3 linked regions of the Saccharomyces cerevisiae S288C genome follow. The gene in region 1 interacts genetically with each later gene. Each region holds a gene or a part of one and is shown on either strand. Other genes may lie near its edges.

The links.
Region 2: mutations in PUB1 (region 1) and TRM732 together harm fitness more than expected from each alone (negative genetic interaction), as found in Saccharomyces cerevisiae (2 studies listed by BioGRID).
Region 3: mutations in PUB1 (region 1) and BPT1 together harm fitness more than expected from each alone (negative genetic interaction), as found in Saccharomyces cerevisiae (2 studies listed by BioGRID).

Annotation. Positions count from the first base shown.
Region 1 is NC_001146.8:599,109-605,694, reverse strand, and holds PUB1 (Pub1p), read right to left. Parts: upstream 2,789-6,586; coding exon 1,427-2,788; downstream 1-1,426. Other genes in the region: PBI2 (Pbi2p), read right to left, coding at 84-311; YNL018C (uncharacterized protein), read left to right, coding at 3,921-5,759; YNL019C (uncharacterized protein), read left to right, coding at 6,465-6,586. UniProt on the Saccharomyces cerevisiae protein: May be associated with hnRNA within the nucleus and remains associated during nucleocytoplasmic mRNA transport, once the proteins are in the cytoplasm, disassembly of PUB1-RNA complexes may occur prior to PAB1 binding and formation of a translationally competent RNP complex.
Region 2 is NC_001145.3:784,296-790,881, forward strand, and holds TRM732 (tRNA methylation protein TRM732), read right to left. Parts: upstream 4,589-6,586; coding exon 326-4,588; downstream 1-325. Other genes in the region: TIF11 (translation initiation complex factor eIF1A), read right to left, coding at 5,083-5,544; TPS3 (trehalose 6-phosphate synthase/phosphatase complex subunit), read right to left, coding at 5,910-6,586. UniProt on the Saccharomyces cerevisiae protein: Together with methyltransferase TRM7, methylates the 2'-O-ribose of nucleotides at position 32 of the anticodon loop of substrate tRNAs.
Region 3 is NC_001144.5:112,558-119,143, reverse strand, and holds the start of BPT1 (ATP-binding cassette bilirubin transporter BPT1), read right to left. Parts: upstream 2,713-6,586; coding exon 1-2,712. UniProt on the Saccharomyces cerevisiae protein: Cooperates for the ATP-dependent vacuolar transport of bilirubin and glutathione conjugates.

The sequences.
Region 1 (6,586 bases):
ATTATTATAGTAGACGAGAAATAAATTTACAATCGGGGAGAGAAAATTTCCGAGTAAAAAAGTGTTTGCGTTTATCTCAGGAATCAATTTGTATGAACTTCTTTGTCTTCTTCGACGTTCTCGATGACATCATTGTGCTTTTCCTTCAACTTGTTCAAGTGGAGAACATCTGGTACCTTGATGGTGTACCCTTTAATGATGTCGAATTCGTGTACAATAGAGCCACCTGCGTGATGAACTGAATCCAAGAACTTCTTAGCTTCCACATCTGGAGTGTTCTTTTTCAAAGTGACGATGAAATTCTTTGTCATTATGGACCTTGTTTTTTGTTTGTATATTTAAGATTACCTTCTGGTTACCGTTCAATTGGTCTAAACGGAATCTCTGCACCTAACATAATGAAGCCAGAATTTTTTATATGTGCCATATATATTGCATTGAAAGAAGTTCCCGATGCTCTGATATGCCCCCTTTTTCCCGCCCCATTTTATTTTTTGGGCTATGCAAGATAAAGAAAGACCAAGAGCTCGGGGATGCGTGGTATTGGTCCGTTTCCTTTTGGGAAAGATGCCAGCCACAACCTGCCACGTACGCGATTCGAAATGATTCGGGCGTGCATATGAAGCTCTTGGAAAAAAAATAAGGGCTGGATAGAGGGAAAGGAGGTGTTTGGCAGACGAAGTAATATCATCTAGGTTTTTGATATTTGGCGTCGCGACTTTTTGGTTGTCATTTTCACAACCTTTCCCTAAAGAAAGAAAAGTCCTGTGGAACCAGCCGGGTTCCTGTTAAGCTGCCTTTTTTTTGGTCTTAACAGCCATTCTTTTGTTCGAAACACAGTTCCGTACTTAATGAGAACGTTGGAGCAGCGTCACGGGTGCGCAGTGGTAGTGGCTGTTGCCTTTATGTGCCTGGACTCAAGACTGACATGTCTCCATAACGCTAGGTAGCATTTTTATATACTTAACAAAAGTTGTAAAAAATAAAAACAAAAATTATATATATGGACTCGACAAAATACAGTGGGATGGATGTTTAAAAAAAATAGGGTAAGAAAGGAAAAAGGAAATATAATAAAGAAAGCCTTCAGAAAATACGTTCTTTATTTTTATCACACTATTAGCAATGACTTTCACATTTTAAAGGAAAATAATAGTATTAAAAATTAAACAGTGACGAAGGAAGGAAATAAGACACAGAAAAACTAAAAAAATAGAGTAAGTTTATAGGCCCTTTTATTTTTCGAGCAATAGTAAATTGAGTTTCTTCTTCTTTTTCTCTCCCTTTTTCGTAGTAATTTTTTTTTTAAAAATAGTATAATATAATGAATGGATTCTTGTCGTTCTTTTTTTATTTTATCTTGGGATTTGTAGGTTGCCTCTCTTTATTCTTTCTTTTTGTTTCATTCCACTTTTCTTCATAATATTTATTGTTGTTGCTGCTGTTGCTGCTGTTGCTGTTGTTGCTCAGACATAACCGGTTGTTGTTGGTCATTCATTATAAGTGGCTGACCGCCCTGTTGCTGCTGCTGTGGCATAAAATTTGATCTTTCCTTACCCCAACCGGTTCTCAAGTTTCTGCCTTGAAATGGGAAGTTTGCCAAGGCAACAATACAAACAGCGGCCTGTTCATGAGTGTCATACTTTATGAAGCAACAGCCCTTTTCTGGATAGTGCTTGAAATCTAAAATAAAACCGAAGTTCTGGAACAACGGAATTAAATCAGCTTCAGTGGCAAAGTGCGGAATATTACCGATATAGGCAGTAGTAACTCTTGGTGGGGCACTTCTAATGATGTGGTCAACAGCTTGAGGATTTACTTGAGGAGGTAAACCAATGGTCTGGGATTGTTGGGGTTGGCCTTGAGATGGTAATGGCATGGCGCCAATTGGCATTCCCATTGAACTTGGTGGCATGCCCCTGCTGTTGTTCATATTCATATTCATGTTCATATTCATCCCCATATTCATGTTGTTATTGTTGTTACTGTTATATTGACGGAAACCACCACGGTTGTTGTTACCGTAGTTACGACGCTGTTGATAATTATTATTGTTATTGTTATCACGCTTAGCAGCCCAGTTGATTCTTAGCGGTCTACCATTCAAATCTTGACCTTGCATGCTGTCCATGGCATTTTGTGCATCATCTTGAGAAGTAAAGGAAACAAAACCGTAACCTCTTGAACTACCAGTTTGCATGTCCCACATAACATGACCACTCAAGTAGGATGGGAAGTCTTTGAAGGCATTCCTTAAAGTTTCGTCATCAACATTAACATTCAAATCACCGACAAACAAGTTAAATGTATCATCGGAGGAACTCTGTTGGGATTGGAAGGCCCAGTTGATTTTGACAATGTTGTTTTCAATTTGTTTGCCGTTCAATGTTTGTAAGGCAATATTGGCATCGTGAGATTGATGGTATTCAACAAAAGCGTAATTGACGTTCTTATTATTCTTATCGATCATGATTTTGATGTTAGCAATTGGTCCGCCAACTTGGAAATATTGCTTTAAAATGTCTTCGGTGATAGCTTTGTCTAGGTTACCAACATATAAAACTCTATCGGAAGTTTCCCTACCACCGGTAATAGCATTAGCAGGAACTACGGAAGGATCATTTTCACCCTGATTGTCTTCAGCTTGTTCAGAATTGCCTTCGACAGCGACGCTCTGTTCAGAAGAAGGATCTGCTGATGCTGGAGCTTCAACTGCCGAGGGAGTTTCGACGGCAACAGGTTGCTGTTGTTGTTGTTGTTGATGTTGTTCTTCGTTATTTTCAGACATTGGAATCGAACAAAGAGTAGATGTGGTAATCTTCTTATTATGAACCTGCTATTAAGATGATAGAAGGGAAGATTAAACTCTAACTTAAAGCACGAAATGGAAACAGTAGATATTATGAAAATAACTGCAGAGTAGAAAAAAGGAAAGGCATGCTTTACCGTAGTTGAATGATTATTACGAGAGGAAAATGAAGGACAAGGAAAGACGGCCAACGATGAAAAAAAAAAATTGAAAAATTACAACAAAAAAGAAGCGAAGGCAAAAAAAGTTGAAAAAAGTACGAAGTGAAAATACGTAAAGAATTATGTTACAAAATGATGAAAAGAGAACGAGTAAATATTCTCTTTGAATTAATTAGTATACGTTAGGATAATTAATCTTCAGAGGTTTAGTAAGAACATTGTGCTTACAACCGCAACGCGTAAACCTTATGCTAACAAGCCTCTTCGTTCACCTCCCTTGTAACGGCAGTGGGAAGGGTAAGCAAAATAAATCACATTGCGAGAAATGTAAAAAAAGAATGGTCTCTAGCGGGATCGAACCGCTGATCCCCGCGTTATTAGCACGGTGCCTTAACCAACTGGGCCAAGAGACCATTGTTATCTGTTTTTCACCCTCCCTCCACACTATCAAACCAACGTCACAAATGTGTGCCAGAACCACCGCTCATTATCTCTGTGCCACAAAAATCAACTTACACTGTCATTCGAATTTCCGGCAAACTCCGACTGAGAAATGTTCGTACTACTTCCTTTCTAGGGCACATTAAAGGAAAAACTCATTGAATGCACCCTTCACAAATCTTAATATCTCTGACCTTTGCATTGTATTAACCAAGCAACCCTCCCTGTGCAAGTAGAAGCCCTGGATCCTTTGTGGTCGTAAAATGAACAAATACCAATAAGACGAAAACAAAAACAAAAACAAAACGACATAGCAACAATGCGGAATTATTTAAGGCTGGCACTCTTTCCGCATGTTTATCACAATTATTTCCACTTTCACTTAAAACCTTGTTTAAGCTTGGCCTACACCACAGGAAAAAAAACCATCCGATCTAATCTTCAAATATCAATTTGAGGTTGAAAAAATTTGCTAAAGCGTTGGTCTAATTTTGTTTTTCGCCCACATAATGTCTACATCTTTCCAGGAGTTCAAGGCCTTCTGCAACAAGGTTGGGCTAGACTTTCAATGGCTTAATTTGCAATCCTCCAAGTCTGTTCCCGAAAACGGTTCCTCTGAAGGTTTCTCAGCCGTCAGTGATACCGTACAAGAAAACATCAGACCAGCTACGGAACCACTTAACGTCAACCAGTCCAAAGATCCTGTCAGCAACTTTTTTTATGATGTCAAGAATGCTCCACTCTGGAACGTGTATAAGAGGAATCATTCCGGTCATTCTTCTGCTGAGGCTTGTTCTGGAGTAAGTTCAAGGCAGGCGCCAAAAAACATACCCGAGGCAATGGTAAAAGAGACAGTCCTTTCTAATCACGACAATGTCACCATAATAAACGAATTACTGCCAACTTCTTCTGCCATGCATCAGGAAGAAAGCACCGCTATGACAACCTCCTACCTCTTATCCCACTCCGTAAACGATACTTGCAACGTGATGTTTTCTTCCTCCTCCCACAACCGTGCTATGCTCCCATCTTCTCTTGTGCAAAGAAATAACGCTACCACATCTCCCACAACAGACTCTGCATCAGAAAACAACGAATCGGTACCCTCACTAACCTCATCTGTTAGCACATCCTCATCAGTTTATTCGTCATGGAATCCTCCTCATTCTCCACACATATCGTCATTTCCAGACGGCAATTTCGCATCGCTTAACGCAGAAGTGACTTGCTTTGATTTCCGCCGCACCAAGGACTCCAGAACAAAAGAGACGAATGAATCTATCATTCCAACTGAAATTTACTGCCCAACAAATTCCACTGATCACCACAAACATTATCCAAGCCGAAAATCTAAACAAGATGCCTGCGCTCCTGCTCCCTGCAATCAAAATATAAGCTGCAGCGTCGTGTCCACAGCGGAATTTTCCCAGTCTAACCACACGTTGACTACTGTAGTTCCTTCATACATGCAACAGTACCTTGACAGGCCACAGAACTGGTTTGAAAGCAAAATGGGAAAATACTGTCCACTCTTTCTGAGAAGTACAAAGAACATTGACTACGATTCCCTCGAATTTAAATTTGAGCGCAAGATGATAGCTGTTCAATACCTGCTTTTAGACGAACAATCTGAGCCCAGAAGGTACTACAACCCTTCAAATAAAAGTATTCCATTCTGGAAGAGACCCTTCAACTTCGATACAATGCCCAGCTACGACCAACTTATGGAGGAAGCAGAGTGCCGTTTTTATTCATACCAATACAAATACGAAGGTTTCCAGAGGATTGAGCCCTACTCCATTTCTTGTCCCTGGAAAAACACACAAAGAGAAATAGATCTGGTTCTTGATCACATTCATTTTTCTCTCGATGTCGGCGAGAAGAAGTCTTTAAACCGAAAAGGAAACATCACTCTCGATACTTTAGACAGTAAGGTCGATCCTAACATTCAGATCAAGCCGTATCAGATTTTTCCGTCCAACAACCTAGTATACGAAGGCTTACCGCATCCCGCCGAACAATCCTTAATTTTGAGTCCTGACACCTCCCTCATTGAGAGGGCGTTTCAGGCACTGATAGACATATGCAAGGAATCCATTCCATCTTCTAATGACTGTAGTACCCGCAATAATAATAGCGCTCCTCAGCTTACCGTGCCAGAACCATCTAAACCATGCCGGCTGCTACTTGTTCGTGAGTCTCGCACAGCAACTGAACTAAAAACTAATAAAAAGCTCTGGCTCCACTCACAAAGAAGGAATATCGAAGTGACCGTACCAATGCATCCTTCTGAGCGTGGGACAAAAAGCTGGTTACGAAAATGGCTCTCAACTTTTGTACATCAGTGAACCGTCAGAAGTTCTGATAGTTCGAACTGTTTGGCACGGCTGACCAAATACTTTTTAACAAGCAAGTTAGTCTACACATAACTTCGTACTTACCACCGTTTTCTTCTGGCGCGCCTCTTCAAGTAGACTACCACCTCTCTTGTAATAGTTGTTATATATGTTTTCATAGTCTGATTTAAATTTTACGCATATTCATCAATTAACCCAATGCACCAAAAAGGCGGGAAAGAAGCAGTAAAGCAAAGGCTTTACTTAAATGCCAAGTAAGGCCTTTGCCAAGCTTTCTTATCGACAGAAGCAGCCCCAGAAGGTTCCTTCGAGAGAGGCGCGCGTATTTATTCACATCGCGGATCACTGGACCCTTAAAATAAAGGCGCCTATTCACAACATCTGCCACAGAAACAACTGTTCAGTTATCCTAGCAGCAGTTTTTGCACAACGGTATAAACCTGTACAAAACTTTAGCAAGGTTTTTTAACACCAAAAGTGCTTGAAGGACACAACACAAACTATAGAACAGACACTGTTTTCCTGACACTGCTTTCCTGACAAGAGACTCGTTTCTGAATTATTTTTTTTTTCAAACATCTTTGTTTCGCTGGAACCATTGAGTCTTTTCTTCCATTTTTAATCTTTATTCTGCCTCCTTTCCTAAACACAAGTTGATACAACGAGGCTGTCAATAGCAAGAGCGTGCGCGAGATTATGCTTTACTCCAGAGAATCAAGGACAACCGTCCTTTTCCTTGCGTTGGTTACCTCCCTAACCGTACTTTGTCACTCGGTCGATGTAACAACTGTATTTACTACGTCAACAATCACCGAAAT
Region 2 (6,586 bases), on another chromosome or scaffold:
TTTGTTATATCATGTGAGCACAACTGTCGTTTTCACAATAGTTCAAATTGACTAGAGAGTTAGTAAAGGGGTACAACTTGCTTTTGTAATAGGGCACACCTTTAATTTTCCATCCATGAACATTTTTCAACAAAAAAAGAGGTGGAAAAAATTCAAAAGAAAATGACAACGGTAAAGAAATTAAATCAAGTTCCATCATTGTATTTAGAATAGAAATCGACATGCTTTGTAATAGGTTCCACAATGAATCTCGTCACTAAATCCACAAGTAGGTTAGAGATGAATCAGATTATATGCAAAGTATATATCTGTACATATTCATTATTTATAATTGGGAATAACTGATAATTAGGGGATGAACAGAATGTTTAGTCAGAACATTGATAAAATTCTCATAATCAGAAGGAGAATAATGTTGAATCAGTTCCTTTAAAAGCGTTATTCTTGAAAATATTTCAGCATTAGAGCACCAGCCGAGTGGGGAATCTTTAAAATCCTCGGTGTTGAAGTGCTCCAATAGAGCACTTTTTAGGTGATGTATCTGGTCTTTGTAACACTTTGAGATATCCCTTCCAGTCAATTTTATCATATTTAATATATGCATTGCCTTTTGTAGTTCGTTGATGAACTGGTTATCCTTTTCTATAGTAAATAGACAATTCTTCGCCGATTCTTCGGCAGCAAACATATCATATTCATTTAGATATTGAAACAACTGTAAACACAACTCTTCTACCACCTCAGAACTTGTGAATACGTCAACAAACTTTTTTGTGAATATAAGAGCGGTCACACTGGTGTTCCTGTTATATTCCCAGTCTGCAGTTTGAATAAAGTTCTTATTCAAATAAAAAGAAGCCTTTTCTCTTATTTCAGAATCATCGTCCCATAAGAAGTTGTACAGTTGTAATAGTATTCTGGAGTTCTTACAACTTTCTGGATAAGCAGTTAAACATTCTAAAGATGCCAATCTAAAATCTTTTGAACAAGAATCGGCGAAAAATCCTTGTAACAAGTTCCATACCTGGTGAAAGGTTTGCGAAGACAATTTAGCACTTAGTGATGAAACGGCAGCAAGTTTTGTATCTTCACTATTATTTGTTTTTAGGAGATCAGTGCAGGTCGTCAGGGATAAAGTATTCTTTTTTCTTGAGAGAATTTTCACTACTAAAGCTTTAGCCATAGGCAGCAAATCTGGAACCCTGAGTAATAATTGTAGTTGTTCAAGAAATTCTGAGTTTCTTGTAGTTTCCCAGTGAAAGTTAGTATTCATGTACTGTAGTGTACTGAGCTGAGCCTCATAAAATGGAGAATACAATCCTAATAAGCAAATATCATCGAGATATATACTATCCTCATATTTTAAGAGCATGTCTAAGATTTGTGCAAGATATAGCTGTTTGCTACCATCCACAACATATTCGTTATTTTCAGCAATAAATGTGTTCCGCAAAGTGCTGATATAATCTTTTAAAATAGAATCAGGTATGTCGCATGTTTCCAATATACAGCAGGTCAATTTTAAGTAGGCCTTTTTAGTGATAAAGCACTTGTTCTCTAGTAGAAGCATCCTTTTCTTTTCAAGTATCCTTTGAATCAACTCCATATCTCTAGTTCCTGAAAGGTATTGTGGTACTAGTTGTTGGAGTGCTAGTAAGTGTCCATGTAACTGGTTTTGCTTCGCGATAGAAGCCAAGTCAAGTAATTTTCTTATCTCTTCTTCAAAATTTTCCGACAGCATATGCAATACTCTAGAGGCCATATCTCTGATCTTCCAGTTCTCATTTGATAAACATTCATAAACAGAAACGTTGAATTCTTTTAGACCAGTATAGCCAGCTGTAGGCCGTAACCTCAGTAGCACATTAAGGACCAAGAAAATGCTTTCAATTTGATATGATTTTCTTTCACTTCCCGAATATTGAGCAATAGAACTGTTTAGAATATTCAAAAGCAGTTGCCTCAAGCCAGAATATTTGGTAAAGAATAATTTTGCACTAACGCTTCTGCCCACTTTTCCAAAAATTCTATTTTGCAAGGAGGTAAACAGCATGATAGAACAGTTTCTTAGAGCCCATATATCACAGTCGAAATTCAATAAAGCTAGTTCTAATGCCTCTGAGACAAATGACGTACAGTGTACAGAGAGCTTCGGTTCAACAAAGATTGCGTTTATACAATTAATAGCATTAACCTGTGGTAAATCAAACTCATCTTGATGGGGAGGAATTGGTAACCTTGCAACGAGTAGTAAGTTTTCAAAAGTTTTTTGTAACAAAGGTCTCCCTTTGGTAACTTCTGCACTTAAGACGGTTGTGACCAAGAAAGGCAAGCCTCCTGACCTTCTTGTAATATGTTGAGTTTTGGATTTTAAAGATTTTACACTCTTGCTTAAAAGTTCTTCCAGAATAGCGGGAAATTCAAGTTGACAACGAATACAAAATGCCTTTAGCCCCGGTAAAACGGCTTGGAAGGCGCCACTATGACGAATAGTAGAAAGCTGAACAATAAAAAGATCGCCGATACTGTCTAATTGATCTCTTGTTAAAGGGTATTTTTTTAATATTGTTTCAAGTAAATATGATGCTTCTTTTATCGCCCTAAATGCGTGACTTATTATAACTTGGTCCGGTACACCACAATTAGCATATTTTTCAGGTAGTATTCCATGGGCAGAATCATGACACACTACATTTCTCGTTGCTTCCCAGCTCTTGAGTACAAGATTTATTAATTTTGAGATTATTTTTGAAGTATCTTGATGGTTTTCTTCAGAGTTAAACTTATTCAAAATCAAGCTTAGTGCAGCAAAGTGAGGACCGATTGAATTTTCTGCACAACCAATGCTGTCATTTTGCAAATTTTGTACCATCTGCGCTAATATATCAATTGTCTGGTCAATGAAGCTTCTTTGAGAGCCCATGACTGTGAATATGAACTCATATACGGTAGCTCCAGCATCACCTTTCTCATAGTCACTTAAAAGAGAGGTTGCAGTCCACTTCAAAGCATTTGCGTCTAAGGTATCCAAAAAAAGACCTCTAGATTCATCAGCGCTTATCATTATAAATAGCATTTCTTTAGATAATTCGCGCACGTCAGCATAATTACTAACCAAAAGGTCAATGAGCAACCTTAAAAATGTGACATCCTGTAAAATTGGGATAGAAAAAGGATATTCCCTCTTATTTTGGTTGTCTAAAAATTTTTGTGGAGTAGATTTATCAACACCAGACTTGATCAGAATGTGCATAAGTTTTAATGAGGTCACGTTCGCCTGATATAAAGTACCAGGGGCCAAATTATATTTTATAAAATTGCATAGCCAAACCAAAAAGGCTCTAGCCTCCTCAACTTGCGCCAACTTTTCCCTCTGTTCGTCCGGAAATTTCTCAGCCTTTTTAAGCTTTCTGGCATCCCTAGCTAAAGAGTATGCGCAGTCTCTGGTTCTAAATATAAAGTGTTTCATCGAACTGCAAAAGTAATTTCTGCGTTCAAGTTCAGTGTCCACGAAGAACACATATAGGTACTGTTTTATAGTTTTGAAGACGAAGGGACGAATAGGCTTTGACTTTTTTGTCGAAAAGGTCAGTATTTCAAATACCTGAAGTTTATACTCATCTTGCTCTATGAGTTTGTTAACAGAATCTACAGTGGTATATTTATTATCACAAAATGGTTCTTCTTCAATCCCCAATTCTTGGCCAATCTTTAAAAGTGAGAGCAAAAGTGATGGGTCTTTGTTAGACATACATTCTAGGAAAAGTGTGAAGGCCGAGTTTGGCATATTTTTGAATAATGGAATCATAATATACAGATTAATGGATTTGGTGTATTGTTTGTCGTGAATGTACTTTAAAGCACAACTTTTCCATAATTGTATCCATTCTTGTACAAAAGACTCGTTCTTTTTGAAATGCTTTTCGTAAATGTTTAACAGCAAACTAACAATGCATTTACCTACCGAATTTGCTAGCAAATCAGAGTTCATTAATGAAAAAGAGTTATCGATGAAATGAGGCTTTTTTTCTATAATATAATAAAGGTCAAAATCAGAAGAAAGGGCATCAATCAAGTAATACTGAACACGCAACGTAGATGGTACTTCTAATATTTCATTCATCCAATTAAATAAAACATCCTTCAAGGTTGACATAGGATATGTGATTTTCAATAAGTTCAGTAGTTTACTGAATAAATCTCTCAAGGCATTCATCAGTGGGGCTCCACCATCAGCCCAAAAGTCAAGAACATATTCAAAGATAATATTTGCATTCGCTTCAGTTAAGAGTTGCTCTTTTACCGCCGATAAAAATTCTTGAGAGTCAATTTTTTTGCTTGCAATTATTTGATGGCTCCTTAGTAAACAGATCGAAAAGGTATCTGGAAAAATTAACCTTGTGGACTCATTTAAGTTCGGTAATCCGTCCTTGATATACTGTATTAAATACCTGAAATCATGCTCAATCTGAGTTAAAACAGCATCCTTATTTTCATTGTTGATCTTTGCTGGATTATTAGCAATCAAGAATTCTTTGACACGGAAAAGCTCGATTTCCTGACTTGAAAATTGCACATCCGTAGTCATTTTTTGAAACTTTCAGTATGAAGTAATGTGTACCTCGGGAAGCTCACAATAGTATTGTCATTTTCCTGCGATGAGCATTTTCTGGTAAAAATTTATTTTAACTTTTCATTTTCTTTTCAGTCTAAAAAAGTAAATTTTCGATGGAAAAAACGGAAGCACTCATGAGTGACAATAAACAGCATCGAAAGAAAAGGTAATAAATTAAAAACGATGAATGGATAAAACGTATTCGCAACGTGCTCTTTGCTCAAATTTCTCGTGCGAGAAAATTTTTATTACGTCTCCTTAACGTCCGCTTGAAAGAAACCCTAGAAGGAAGATTAAACGACTTCTTGAGGTATTTCATTTTTATTCTTTTTTTGATATCTATATATAAGTATTTCGATATAGTAAAAAGAAAACCCTTTCCTATGATGGACTAAAAAATATAATTATAAATAAATTATGAATAGTTGACGCATTAGAAGATATTGAGGACACTTGTTCGGCCTAAATTAAATGTCATCAATATCAAGTTCTTCATCTTCACCTTCCTCATCATCTTCATCAGCGTTACCAAATTCAAAGTTAACGTCTTCATCAGATTCGAAACCAAAGTTGTCTGTTTCATTAATTTTGGCGTTTTCAGGAAGTTCACCTTGGTTTTTCAGTGTTCTGGCTTCATCTAAATTATATTTGTGGACAACATCACATTGGTCATCTTGGAAATCTCTTAAGGAAACAAGAATAATATCACCTTGTCCCATCCAGACTTTCTTTCTTAACTTACCTCTAATATGGGCCATTCTCTTATTACCATCAAAGCAACTGGCTTCGACTCTTCCATTACCCAACATCTTGGTGATTTGAGCATATTCTTGGCCTTCTTCCTTATAAATAAGTTCACGCTTTGGACCGTCAGAGTCGTTCTTACCTCTTCTACCTTTTTTACCACCTTTAGTGTTTTTCTTACCCATGATGAACTTTGCTCTATATTACACTAGTGCTTTTGCAAGTACACCTTCTACATAAGTAAAGGTTTCTTTCAGCAAACTAAAATTGAAGCTTTTTTCAATTTTTCACTATTACTTCTTGCGGCGAAAACAAAAATGAAAAAAAAGTGAAAAATAGCGTTCGTGTATAATGATTATTATAAGATCTCATTAACAATATGAGAAATAACCCACATTGTTAGTTGAAACTTGTTTGTAATTTATCGTGCTGTATATACATATATACGTAAAAGGAAGATCGTACTTTTATATTTATAATCGCTCGTAAAAACTATAACTGAAGAATAAGAAAGAGAACATTTTGAAAGTACAGGAGGGAAAATGATCGCTTAGGCGGCTGTCAAGTCATGAAGGATGGTAAAAAGTTCATTGACACCATTGATATGTTCCTTGGCATAAGTGGATCTTGAGCTACCGTAAAGAATGGTGTAACCAAATTTTAGATTGTTCTTTTCAACCTCTTGCTTCACTAATTTAAATAATGGTTCAATAATAGGTGATGTCGAACCGGAAACGCAAACGAAATCTACCTGGTTTTGGAAATGCTTCTTATTATTACCGACGGACATCGAAGAGGATGTTCTTGATAGAGATATTCTGCTATTGTCAGTAGGACTGACGCCACTGTTGTAAAATTTCATCAAAAACTCAGCGGCGGCTAAGGCTAGCCCCGTTTGTTGAACGAAGACAATATCCTTATGCACATAAGCGTGAATATCCCTGTCATCAAATAAGGTGTTTATGTGCGTAATGGCTTCCCCAATAACAGTTGGGACTCGATCTTGATCATCAGCGTTTTCTGTATGGAATCTGATCATAGAATCAGCGATTTTGTAGTATGAACCAGGTAACCTCTCGACTTTCTCGTCAAAGATCTTTGCCACCTCTTTCATCCAATCAAGCTCTTCCACGATGTTGTACCACGACCCATTAACTCTTACGTAGGCACCATTCTCCGCTATCAATCCGATGTTTAGAACACCATTGTATAAGCTTTCGAATGTAT
Region 3 (6,586 bases), on another chromosome or scaffold:
TTTAAGCTGCAGAGGTTCATCCACTTCACTTTCGGATCGGTGTTCAGTTTGGACATCGCTTTCATTTCCATTATCAATCGGAGAATCAAATTCCTCTAGTAATTTTTTCAGTTTTGAAGTATTGTTCTTACGGTTCATTACATCCTCATAATTCCCTTGTTCAACAATTTCACCGTTTTCTAGCGCATATATCATCTGCGAATGTTTTAAAATTGATACAGTATTGGTAGTTAAAATAATTGTTTTATTTTTTAATAAAGCCGTCTTTCCGATCAAAACATATTCAATAATATTTTTACTAACTTCTGCATCAACAGCAGATAAAATGTCATCCAACAAATAAATATCTGCTCTCGAGTACACCGCTCTGGCTAATGAAAGACGGGCCTTCTGACCGCCTGATAGGGAAATGCCCTTTTCACCTACCAAAGTTTCATCACCATCTGGTAGTATTTTCAAATCGGGTAGCAATTGACATGCTTTAATAGTGAGGTCATAATAATCTTGGTCGAACTTGTGACCAAATAGAATGTTTTCTCTTACAGATGCGTTCATTATCCAGGATTCTTGTGAACAGTAGGCTACAGACGATGATCTAATGATCAGTTTAGGTGGTATCGAGTCCCTAGAACCACTCATGCAAGGAAGTTGACCAAGAATTGCCTTCAAAAATGTTGATTTACCAGCTCCTACCCGACCAACAACACAAACTAAATCACCCCTTTTTGCTTCAAAATGATCGATATTCTTCAACGCAATTTGAGAAGATCCGATAATAGACTCTTCATCTGTCCTCAAATTATCTCCAGATTGGCTAGATGTTAATACTTCTTTTGATTTCCATAAAAATGTAATATTATTCATCTCTATAGCAGGTAACGCTCTTTCATCCGCTGAAGGATCAATACGTTCGATGAACGAATCATCAATTTCGTCACTAAGTAGGAATGACTTTAATCTTTCCATAGAAACGCTTGTCTCTATAATGGTATTTATCATGGATGGAACGGAATAGATGGCACTGTTCAAAATATTAAATAAAGATAATGAAGGGAAGACAATGGCAGGAGATAACGGAGAATCACTAAATAAAGAAAATAAGCCAAATGTGGAACATGTCACCATTAAAGGTACACAATTCCACGCAAAATATATCAGATTGCTCACTATACCAATTTTCCGAAAATTTTTCAACTCCATATCATTACGAACATGATTCAATCTTGCCATCATAGGTTCCTCCCAGGCGTATAATTTAATAGATTTTATAGCATTCAAAAGCTCTGTAATAGTCTTGATTCTCATGTCCTTATACTTCATTTGAGTTTTTGATAGCTTTTTTACCTTTCTAGATAAGAAGGCATTGATAGGCATCATAATAGCCATAGTAACCAACCCTCCAATAACAGCCTTTCCTAGCAACCAGTACAGGGAAGTTAATACAACAATAATCTGAATAGGAGCGCCAATAATGGTTTGGGCATTTTCGAAAAACCGCTGGATCCTTAACACATCCACAGACATCAAATTTAAGATGTCACCAGTAGATTTTTCGTTACGCTCTGCTAGCGTCAATCTTAAGGACTTCTGATACACTAAAGAAGCTAAAGAGCCTCTTATCCCCAAACCAGCCTCAAAAATTCCAATATAAAATTGATTGGTGAGGAACACAGAAACCACGCTGATTACGAAAAGGGTTAGAGCAATAAATACACCATTTAAAGGAGGATATTTAGAAGATGTTTCCGGGTTCAAACCATCTATGAATATCCGTAGAAACTGGGGCTGTACTACAGAAAGTAAATCAGATGTCGTTTCATACAGCATAGCCACAGAAATAGTCCTACCAAATGACTTCCAAATGGCCCTCCAAAGAGAATTTCTATTCAACCATTTTTCCAATTCCCAGTTAGCCTTAAATTCCTTACTTATCGACTTAATATTCAGATCTACTGGCGGCAATGGTAACTGGTTAGGATCTTTGATTTTCTTGTTACGGTAAGTTTCCACAATCAGTTTGTTCATCCAGATAAATGTAATATAGGATAGTACATGAACGGGGGGATACCACCCATTTTTCTTGTAGTATTCAGATAATTCGTTAATTGGCTCAAAAATGCATAGATCATAAATAAAAATTGCCACAGAATTGAAAAGAAGGAGCACTTCTAAAATCATAGCAGTTTGTCCGCTAATAACAGTAAGCCTTTCGTTACTAGAACCATGATAGTACCTCTGCAATATCAAGAAGAGCTGTAGAAGAATTTGAAACATGTAATAGAAAAGCTGGTTGCCCATTGAAAATGTACTTTTAAAATAAGCTAAGTATTGAGTAGGGAGAGAAATACCCAAATTGAAAAGGAGATTCAAGTACAGAGCCTTCTTTAGTATAAATGGATAAACCCTATCGCTAGATTGGGATACCAAGGCCAGTTCACAAATTATAAGCGTGGACTGAAAGCAAACATTGGTCAAATGCGTTAGATGTCGACTGTTGATTTTACTTGGTAATGTAGGAAAGTTCTTAAATCTGGGTGGTACTTTATTGTTCTTATAAAGTTTCCACAATTGATAGCTACCAATCAATAGGAAAAAGACGGCTTGCCAGGCGGATATTACTGATATAAAACATGGATTTAATGCATTTGTGCCACTATCTGGATATGGTCGGTATCCATAGGGGCACCCATCTACCACTTCTAGTGAAGACATTGTCTTTATATTAATCTTTTTTAGACAAAATTTTCTTTATGATCTCTTTAAAATTAACCACTGCTAATATATGTTCAGAAGAGACCTTGGTATAGAAAAGTATGCGAGGACAATCTGTTGATAGGTTCAGGAGTATGCGATTTTAATTTGGAGAACTGGCTGAATTAACTTATACTCAGGCGCAATTTTTTAAAGGGAATTGGAATTATCGCGATGTCGCTACGGCCAAAAATTTGAGGGCATTTAAATATTATGGTATGCTATAAATAAGCAAATATATAATAAACTAGGCAAACAATACGATCAACATTGTGGGATAGCAGCCGTCGGGCTTGATGACGGACATAGTTTACTATAGTGATCAATAAATAATATAACAGGAGAAAACAAACAAAATAATTAATCCACCGAGAGAAGGAAATCGAACATACGGCGCCGTTACTTAGAAACCTTGGGAGCTTTTTTCTTTGTCTTATGTAATTGAAATTTTGGAAATCTGTCTTTCTTAGTGGATGTTTTTCCTTCATCGGTTTGGTCATCCCTGGATTTTTCTTGTGATTTATTATTCGAATTGGAATTCGGAACGACTTTCTTTCTTGGTTTTGGTTCAATAATTAATGATAATTGGTATTGTTTCTCAATATGGGGGATGTTTTCCAATGAATTTGATATACATTCAATTACCGTCCGATCTTTAGTGAAATCATAATGTGTTTTCTTGAAATATATGATCTCTTGTAAGATATCAACAAGTCTGCTCCTTTTGTTGAAGTTTATATATTTCTTCTCATCATGGACACCCTTTAAACCATGTTCCAAGACAAGATAATCCGGATTTCCGGAATCAGTAAAGGTTAGATCAGATAAATAAACGCCGAAAAACGGTACGCAGGGAGCGCTATGTAAAGATTTCAGCTCGTTTCTGTAATTTATGAAATTTTTCTTGGGATCCATCAACTTGTTCAGTGACTGCAATAGATCTCTCGTTTGAGGAATAACTGCCTGCCAGGTTTTCTCTAAACGATAAATTGGTGAAGAATATAATGCTGAAATGATTGCAGTCATGGAAGAAAAGTTATTGAATTTCCTACAATATTCTGCGATAAAAATAAAATGAGAGAGTAGCTTGGCGCGCTTACTTTTATCAGCCTCCTTTACAACAGAGTAGGATATGAAATTTGTCAGTTTATTGGCAAAACTGATAAACTCGTTCAAACCCGGTGAAGCCCCATACGATTTTGTATACTTGTTCTTCCAAATTTTTTGTAAACAATCAAAAATGGTTATCTCACAATAAATTTCATGCTCTAGTATCGTTAATTGAGTGGCAAATAAAACTGGATCGACGGCCAAAATGGATTCCGTGGTAGAGTATAAAGTGCCCGAGTAATGGTCCTGGCAGATCTGTTGATCTAACGTTTTCATTGGTGCAGTCGCTTCTTGTATATTACCATGTTTAAACTTCTGATTGACCTCCTTTAGTAATTCCACAGATCCTGTTATATTTTCCTTGATTGCTACTTGCGCAAAATAATCCAGATTTAGGGTCGCAAGATCGGGCTCATCATAGCCCAGGAACCAATATTGCTTGAAAAAGGTTGTCATAATCTCAACCACCCTACATTTAACCGGTATAAGCTTTTTCGTCACCCATTCATTGTATTCTTCAAAGCACAAATCCTCTGGTGGATCCAAATTATATTGCGAAATCAAGTAGCTTAAAAACTCCGTTGTAGTAAAGATGCTTCTGAAAGTGATTAAAAAAGTAATATCGAAAAATAGATCCTTCTTTTCATTATCTGTCAAGTAAGAGATCAGTGCGTGTTTAGAACCACCTTTAATCCTATTGTTAGAGCCCCAAATCAGTTCACTGTCATACTCGCGCTGCAAATACCTCGGTAATTTGACTTGGCTGTCACGCCATTCGTCATTGTCTTTAGTATCTGAATCTGCATAAACAGCATTCGTGTCACTTTTTTCGGCAGTTTCACCGCCGTCATAGGACCCATAGCCTTCTTCCCCGCGCAATAGCAATTCCGTGATATTGTTTTTCATCATTCTAGCAGCATAATTTAACAAATTCTCTCTTTCTAGAATTAATTGATTCACGAACTCAATGGCTAGTTTAAGCACATCAAAATAGTCATCACAGGATTTTTTAAAAACGTGGGCGAGATTAAAAAACTTTAAATCATTGAAATCAGAATCTTGATTGATGAGGTTGTGGAAGAGAATAAGACTATCCGGGTCTGGCTCATATTCATCTTCCTCCTCTTGGATATCAGTATTTTGGCTCCCATTCTTCTTATCCTTGGCATTATCTAAATTCAAGGATGAAGGTTTCATTGGTTCATAATAACCGGTAGGCAAGTCGTTTTGCATTGGCGAGAAAACGAAAGGATCCTCTAATGTCAAATGCTGGGCGACAATTATAAATTTCACTACTACATCATGAAAATATTGCTTCATATTAAAATAGTCGGATAAGATATACGATAGGGATGATAAAGAATGTTTCAAAAACTCTTCATCTTCATCATCAATAGCGACATCTTCGTCAAAAACTCTATTCTCATCTCCCAACTCTCTCAAGTTTAGAAAAATAGTTAAATCTAGGTTTTCCAGAATATCAATTATAGGAATTGTTCCGCTTACTTCTTCGTAGGTTTTGAAATTCATTTCAAAATTCAACATTTTTGAAAAATTAGCCGTGTTACTGAGATATTCATTAGCACTTTTGATCATTTGTTTTAGTTTACCATCAAGCTGCTTCTTCCTGGCCCTTACAAGGCTTAGAGTTTCTTCATTTAGCGGGTATGGTTTTTTCCTTTTGGACCATATGGTGTCAGACTCATCGGAACTTCCTGACACATTAGAGAAAATGGTACCTCTTCTCCTTCTTTGAAACGGGGCTGATGGTGAATGGTGAGACGTTTCTGACGAGCATGAAGTGCCCTGTTTGGAAGCTGGAATTTCATCAATATTTTCCGCAACAATTCCTGAAGCACCAGCAACGGCTTTAATCATCTGTCTCGGTAGGTCATGGGACATATGCTGGTTGAGACGCTTACGCAAAAACGGGTTATTCCATGAAATTGTATTGAAAGAATCCTTGAAAAATCGAGGAGTCAATTGAGGCAGTATTGTAAGTTCGTTAGGATTTGAGAGGAAATGTAGTAAACGCAGTAGAAAATGAAATTTTTGGAAGGTTCCTAGGATTGACTGTAGAAGAGGGGATCTTCTTTCTGGATCCTTCTGGGAGGCTATGGCTTCTCTTTCTTCAAACAATGTGGAATGAAACCAAATATTTGCATTTATTGAAAACCTAGACAAGGTGTAAATTAGTTTTTTGAGGGTTTTTTTGAAACTATCTTCAACTAAACGGAGATTCCTGAAAAGCATATAAACATAGGTTATTTGAGCTGTTAATAAATCCAAGGAAGTTAGAAACTTTTCCCGTTCATTTGCCAATAGGTCGCGCTCTGTTAAATTAACATAATGACACACTAAGCGAGTGAGGTCATACCAATAGACGACATCACAATCATTGAGATAGAACAGATCGGGGCTTGACGTTATAGGCATCTTTTTACCAGCTATCTTCGATATTGCAGGAAAAGACGAATAGTCGTTCACGGTTTCAACTTGATTTTGTGGTAAATATGGTAACGTGCGACAATAAACATCTAAATCCTGGTTATAGTACAGCAGCTCACAGCAGCCTTTCCTTTCGTGGACGGGAGTAGGTGACCAAGCCAGTTGTTCCTTGAATTCAATATCGCGACAGCAGTCTAAAAAGTCTTCCAATGATAAGATCACTGGGTTGCTTGATAATTCCAGTTTAAGATTAAGACCCGCTTGAAATATTTCCAAT